2 linked regions of the Pelodiscus sinensis genome follow. The protein of the gene in region 2 interacts with the protein of the main gene of each other region in a pairwise test. Links are inferred from orthologs where the notes say so. Each region holds a gene or a part of one and is shown on either strand. Other genes may lie near its edges.

Region 1 (3,748 bases), on a different chromosome or scaffold from region 2:
GTAACTCCTATCATCCCTCCATTGACCTATTTCCCACTGATAATGAATGGTCAATTAGCTACCAAGATCATGTTATCTCATCAAACCATCCCCTTCATAAACCCATCTAGTTTAATCTTGAAACCAGACAGATCTTTTGCCCCCACTACTTCCCTTGGCAGGCCATTCCAGAACCTCACTCCTCTAATGGTTAGAAACCTTCGTCTAATCTCAAGTCTAAACTTCCTACTAGCCATCTTATATCCATTTGTTCTTGTGTCCACATTGGTATTAAACTTAAATAATTCCTCTCCCTCCCTGGTATTTATCCCTCTAATATATTTAAAAAGTGCAATCATGTCCCCCCTCAGCCTTCTTTTGGTTAAAGTAAACAAGCCAAGCTCCTTGAGTTTCCTTTCATAAGACAGGTTTTCCATTCCTTGGATCATCCTAGTGGCCCTTCTTTGTACCTGTTCCAGTTTGAATTCATCCTTCTTAAACATGGGAGACCAGAACTGCACACAGTATTCCTTGTATAATGGCACTAACACCTCCTTATCCCTACTGGAAATACCTCGCCTAATACATCCCAAGATCGTATTAGCCTTTTTCACAGCCATGTCACAATGGCGGCTCATAGTCCTTCTATAATCAACCAGGACTCCGAGGTCCTTCTCCTCCTCCGTTACTTCCAACTGATGTGTCCATAGCTTATAACTAAAATTCTTGTTATTAATCCCTAAATGCATAACCTTACACTTCTCACTATTAAATTTAATCCTATTGCTATCACTCCAATTTACAAGATCATCCAGATCTTCCTGTATGATATCCTGATCCTTTTCTGAACTGGCAATAGCTCAACTATAGGAACTGAGCAAAAGTCAAAAAGACTGACTGTTTTAATTTATAATCTTATTCTTTTGTCTGCAGATTTCAGAGGATGGGTCCTATAGAAAAGGAGATCTGGTTATTTCTTTCTGGACCAATGCTGTGAAAAACCATAATTGGATAACTGAGATTTAGAAAAATCACTAATGAACAGTGGGTTTTTTTAAATATCTGCTCCATTTCTACAGTTTTCTTCCTGAATATTATCTGGAACATGCAATTTTTTAGAAGCATTATCACTTTTCACAACAGGAAATCAAAGACCTGTAACAATAATACCAGTCCCTCAAAATGGCACCAGCCCAGGGGTAGGCAATACCTTGAGACAGGGGGCCACTTCAGAAATTTTTGAAGTGGCCCCAGGCAGAAGGGGTGGAGCCATGACACTTCCATGCTTCCCCATCCACAGACCAGGATGGCCTGGGGGTGAGGGGAGCACATGAAGTCTCCCCCCATCGCTCCCCAGAGAAAACCACCAGCTGTTCTTAACAGCTGGAAGTTCCCTCTAGGCTCCTAAGCCCCTAGCATCAGGAAGAGACTTTGCACATTCCCCCCACCCCCAAGTCAATCATGACCTGGGGGCAGAGGGAGCATGGAAAGTCTCTCATTCCCTTGCCCACTCCCTGCAAGGGGGTACTGTGCATAGAGTCAACCGCCAGCTGAGCAGCAGCCGGTGGTTGACTCTAAATAATCACGTGCCCTTGGCAGGGTGGGAATTCACTTCATGCACTCCCCGTATCCCCAGGTCTATCAGGGTCTGGGGAGGGTAGAAGTGCGGGGTCTTCTCCCGCCCTGCCCCCATCCTGCAAGGGGCACACGGCACTTACAATCAGCCTGTAGAGGCTTTTTTGCCCACCCCCTGCTCGAGCCCAACAGTTTAAAGCTCTCTTATTGGAGGCACGTTTCAATTGCATACAAGGAAGTTTAGAAATACTGAAAAATGTAGACGTGACTTTACAATATAAAACAAAGTCTCAGAGGGGTAGCTGTGTTAGTCTATAACTTTAAAAACAACAAGTAGACCTGTGGCACCTTAGAGGCTAACAAAAATATATAGGTAGTATCCTGAGCTTCATCTGAAGAAGTGGGTTTTTCCCACAAAGCTCAGGATACCATCTACAGTTTTGTTAGTCTGTAAGGTGACACAGGACTGCTTCTTGAACATAAAACAATTGATAAATAATAGAATAATACAGTCACGCTGGATACACATGGAAAACTGACATCCTGTCTATGTTAATAAGACTATTTAGAAAAGATTGAAATCCAAACATCTCTTTCCTTTACTCAGCTCTCCTTCCCCTCCCCCCCATACCCAGCCCTGTGAAGTCTTAGCAACAGGCAGTTCCCTATCACTCAAGGCCAACCCACAACATTTTGGCACCTGAGGCGGGGAGCTCAAATGACGCCCCCATGCCTCCTCCTCTTCTCCTGCCTGCTTTGTCTCTTGTACCCTCCTTCCTCCAGCACAGCACTCCACCATCTCTGTGCATCTAGGGCAGAGAGAATACACACGCACCAGCAGCAGACCCAATTTTCTACACTCTGGGTCCTAGTGGCGCCCCACCCACAGTCTGCCTCATGCTAAGGCCAGCCCTGCTACCACTTGCAGGCACGCAGACGCAGGGAATTTAACATCGCTGCTGCCAGCCCGGCCAGCTCTTACATACCCGCAGGAGCACAGCTGGCAAATGCACTTCTTGGTGGGCAGGGCCTTGGGCGGAGTCACGGGAGGAGACATCCTTGCTACGGGATGGAGCTAGATCCGCCGTCTCTCGCCCCCGCGGAAGCTCTGGGACGGAGAGTTTGACCAGCAGCCCTTCCGCAGGCGTGTTTCGGAGAAAGTTCCTATAAGGGACAGGGGTAGCCCCGGCCGGGAGCCGGAATCGCCGCAGCAGGTGAGAACGGCACTAAGGCAACTACATAGCACAGCTGATCCGCTTCCCGCCCCCCCAGCTCCGTCTCGTGCTGCTCCTCCCGCCCTAAGCAGCGCTGCTGGCTCCGGGGGCTGCAGCCTCGCGAGGCGATCACCCGGGAGCCTTTGTGAGGTCACACGGGCGAGCTAGCGCCGCTGTGTGCAGGCCCTGGGCCGGAGGCATTTAATGCGCTGGGCTGGGGTAAGCGGGTCGGGGCTGGAGTGGCACTTAGACCGGACACTCGAGCCTGGCCTGCTGGAATTAGAACTATTGCCGGGAGCTGGGGGGAGGCGGGGGGGACACGCACACTTGTCTCTAGTAGCCACTAGTGTTTTAAACACCACTTGTTCTCGACAGCGATACACATGGGATCACTAGCGCTCCCGTCCCGCCCGCGGGTGGAGCAGGCGTGCTGCATAAGAATGGCCTGTCCGCCTCCGGAGCGGGGAATTCGAAGTGAAAACTGGGGGGGGGGGGGGGGTACGCACAGCCTCTGTCATTACCCCTTTCGCTTGTTTACGGGAAGGAAGTTGCAGAGGCTGGTTGTGAACACGGTCCGCCTGTGCCGGGTCTTCTCTGGGTCATTCTTGAAGGACTTACCTCAGCCTCTAGGAGGGAGCCCTGCAGTAGTAGTTTTCTAGGTGAGATTAACTCAAAAGCTTCAAAAAGCTTGTGACCTTTTTAACATCTGATAGCATTTTGAACAGGAGGTGGTGTATTAACCGTAGCTGATCTGGCCCCGTTGCACCCAGTCAGCCTGCATTTCCTCTGGATGTTCACCAGTCCTTCCTAAACTTTAGCTACCCTTGTTCAGCCCTTGGCAGAATCCAGCAGGAAAAGGAGCTAAAGGGAAAATTAGACAGTGTGCCTCGCTTTGGTAGCTAGAGGAAAAATTAGACCGTGTGCCTCTCTTTGATAGCTAGAGGGCTTCTTTAAAAATAAAGTGTTAGAAAAACAGATAC
Region 2 (3,748 bases):
ATATTTCAGTGTAGATCAGGCCTTAAACACCCGTGAGGGACCGTATGTGAAAACACTACAAGGGGTGGGGAGGGAAGAAAAGGCTTCAAGGGGTCCAACAGTTACATAAATGTTTTGTCAGAAAACTCCTTAAGGAATAAGTTTTAGTGATTAATTTCTGGGCAACTCCAATTTAGGGGAACAAGAATACAAACTCACAGGAGGTGACCAGCAAATAATACCTATAGGTTTTTATCTCAAAATAATTATCTTTCAGTGTTACTTCAAGATTCTCTCACCAGGAGCAGTTATCTTTTCTACAAATTTTTCAGTTGAGTTTTGAATCACCAATAACAGTAAAATAGTGAGAGGGATGCAGCCGTGTTAGTCTGGTGTTAGTCTTTAAAGTGCTACATAGTTCTGTCTTTTGTTTCAATAACAGTAAAGGCTCTACTCTTGTTATGAGAGGGAGCAAAATAAGTTTCTACAAGATAATTAGACAGGAGAACACAGACTTTACAAAGTTAAATAATCAATTTAAAGTATTCAATAGATAATGACAGCCTGTGAAGTGTTTAGCAAGGAGGCACAAGTGACTTGCCTTGCCTGACAGAGGATCTAAAGCACTGAATCTTACCCAAGTAGTCAAAGAAGTGTGCAAAACTGAAAGTTAATAGCAAACAAAGCACCATAATATTGAACCATTAGCATTCTCCTATCCCAATCACAAATGAGCACACACACAAAATTACATTACTCAAGTGACAGTCACATCTCACTGGTACTACTGGGAGTTACACTTACATAGGATGGGTGAACAGAACCCGAAGAGTTAATATTTGCCCATATTTACAAAGAAATCACAGTAATGCCTAGGTTTATACTATGGGTATAGATGGGCATAGTTCAGGCAGCTTCCCATAAGCAACCTTTTTAGAGACATTGGTACTGTTCTTCATTAAGCCTTTTAACACAACACAATCTCTAATTGCACCCACTGTTAGTGTTCATAATGCATTTAGCAGCAAGTCCACTTCAGGAGATTCTTTTTAACACACAAACAAGCAGAAGGTTAAAAGCTACATCTCTGACTGAAACCTTTAATATATTAATTCTTTGTACAACACCTACCACAGTAGCTCATGCAGCAGACGGCCAGATCCCCTGCCTCGGTTTTTGTCAAAAGCATAAGCAAATATTTTAGCACCATTTCCATCAGCATCTACCTCCATCCGAGCCTGGAGAGAAGGAAAGAGTGTTCAGTGACCAAGGGCATCCAACTGCCAGCAGAAGCGCTTAACATTCCCTTTGGGAAATGGGATACTGGAAAGACCAACACCTGATATCATCTGTCCCCCTACAACTGCAGGAAACTGATTATATACTACTTCATCTCAACGGGATTTTAGTTATCTAAATCTTCTGTATTAGACAAAGACCAAAGGATTCTGCTACTGCACAAATGTGATAAATTGGGGAGAAGGAAGAAATAGACTGCACACAGCAGAAATGCTGAGCGCAAAGAGGAAGGATGGTCCTGTGGTTAGGGTGCCAGTCTAGCGCTCCGCTTTGCACCAGACAGTGGGCAAGTCACCACTTCACCATCTGTAAAATGGGGATAAGAGTACTTCCCAAGCGGACAGGGAGGCTGGTAAGATAAGTACGTTACAAACAAGAGTGACTCGGATACTGTAGCACAAGGGCCTTGTAAATTCGTCTGGGAGAGTCGGCATTCGCCATGGAGTCACGCAGAGCCCACTCTTGTTTTTTCAGAATTTATTGTGTTTTCCTCGCCACACCACAGCAGCTGCTAGCGGGGCTGGAAGGGGAGGGGGGAGGGGAAACGGGGGTTCCCTGCAGGCAAAAGGTTTTTAAACCAACTCCACCCGCCTGAACACCCACGTGCAAGTCAGCGCCTGCGAGCAGAGCCCGGCCCGGTGGGGGGGGGGGGGGGGGTTCCCGCCTGCGAGCAGAGCCCGGCGGAGGGGGAGGGGGGGTCCCGCCTGCAGCCCGGCCCGGCGGGGGGGGGTCCCGCCTGCAGCCCGGCCCGGCGGGGGGGGGTCCCGCCTGCAGCCCGGCCCGGCGGGGGGGGGGTCCCGCCTGCAGCCCGGCCCGGCGGGGGGGGGGGTCCCGCCTGCAGCCCGGCCCGGCGGGGGGGGAGGGGGAGTCCCGCCTGCAGCCCGGCCCGGCGGGGGGGGAGGGGGGGTCCCGCCTGCAGCCCGGCCCGGCGGGGGGGGGGGGGGGTCCCGCCTGCAGCCCGGCCCGGCGGGGGGGAGAGGGGGGGTCCCGCCTGCAGCCCGGCCCGGCGGGGGGGGGGTCCCGCCTGCATCCCGGGGGGGGGGGGGTCCCGCCTGCAGCCCGGGGGGGGGGCTCACCTCGAAGGAGAAGCTCTCCACCAAGGGGATGTCCTGCTCGTCGATCAGCGTGTACTTGGTCTGCAACACACGGGGGGGGGGGGCAGGTCAGCGCCCGGCACGAGGGCCCCGCCCCCTCCCCCCGCGCGGGGCGGGGCCTGGGCCGCGAGGGCCCCTCCGCCGGGCCACGTGCCCAGGCGGCGCCGCGGGACAAAGCGCGAGGCCCCCCCGATCCCGCGCTCCTGCGGCGCCGCCCCCGCCCGCCAGGGCCCGCGCGCCCGCCGCACCTTGCCGGCCACGCGGCCGAGCCGCACGATGCCCAGCTTGAAGTCCGTCATGGCCGGGCCGGGCTCGGCGCCGCCGCCTGCGCTCGCCGCTCGGGGCCCGGGAGCCGCCGCTGCCACGCGCCGCCGCCTCGCGCACACCCGGGGGGCGGGGCCGCACGCCGCCTCCCACCCGTCAGCGTTCAGCCAATCCCGGCACGCGCCGTGCCCTCCGTCATCGCCCTACGCCGCGCTCACGCCCAATGGCAAGGCGGGGCTGGGAAGGGTCACGCGGGGCAGCGCGCACGCACGGTGACGTCACACTCGCGGGAAGCTTTGTGCCGCCAACACTGGAGCAACGCAACGGGGGGGCGGGGCTTAAAGGGGCCGCAGCCACCCGCCTCGCGGGGGCCCCGCCCGCCCCGCCCCCTTCCTCCAGCGCTCCCTGCCCCCCCCCGGGATTCCTTTGGTGCACCCCCCCCGTCGTCCTGGAATTCCCTTGGTGCACCCCCCTGCCCTCCCCTCCTGGGATTCCCTTGGTGCACCCCCCTGCCCTCCCCTCCTGGGAATCCCTTGGTGCACCACCCCCCCCCCCCCCCCGTCGTCCTGGGAATCCCTTGGTGCCCCCCCCCGTTGTCCTGGGAATCCTTTGGTGCACCCCCTGCCCTACCTCCATCCAGCGCTCCATGCCTATTCTGAGCCTGAGTTGGCTGTGGTTTGGTGGAGAAGGGGGAATTGTCTGATAGAAGTGGCAGGATGGGTACGTAACGTGACTTTGCCTTTTAAAAAGGTGGTGTATGGGGATCTGCCATTAGGGCTGCAATCTCTCCTACCCGTCTGGCCGACCTACGAGGAAAACAGTTTTCCTGGACAAGTGTAATAATGCGGTGGTGGCATTGGTCTAGTTAGAGCATTCAGTACCAAATGCAGGTCCCACGGTTGCATTGGCGGATTGATATCTGGATAGAGTGCCTGCAGGCCTTTTAAGAACCTCTTGGTGAGTGGATGAGCAAATATGGACAAGTCGTCTATCTTGGAGTGTAATGTAGCGATAGGAGCAAGGTGAAATTTATTGCGAAGTGCAGGAGATAGTTGGGGATGGTAGGTAAGGAGAATGTCGAAGGAACCAGCTGGTGACATACACACCACTTC

What was found.
Region 1: the proteins of ZMYND19 (region 2) and SAXO1 interact in binary tests that used the Homo sapiens proteins (3 or more experiments, as listed by UniProt). The two-hybrid records come from large-scale screens. The link is inferred for Pelodiscus sinensis from reciprocal best matches to the Homo sapiens genes ZMYND19 and SAXO1.

The regions. Positions count from the first base shown.
Region 1 is NC_134716.1:19,822,696-19,826,443, reverse strand, and holds the start of SAXO1 (stabilizer of axonemal microtubules 1), read right to left. Parts: upstream 2,782-3,748; 5' UTR 2,612-2,781; coding exon 2,541-2,611; intron 1-2,540. UniProt on the Homo sapiens protein: May play a role in the regulation of cilium length. Stabilizes microtubules at low temperature.
Region 2 is NC_134732.1:1,204,131-1,207,878, forward strand, and holds the start of ZMYND19 (zinc finger MYND domain-containing protein 19), read right to left. Parts: upstream 2,816-3,748; 5' UTR 2,672-2,815; coding exon 2,621-2,671; intron 2,415-2,620; coding exon 2,355-2,414; intron 1,218-2,354; coding exon 1,111-1,217; intron 1-1,110. UniProt on the Homo sapiens protein: May be involved as a regulatory molecule in GPR24/MCH-R1 signaling.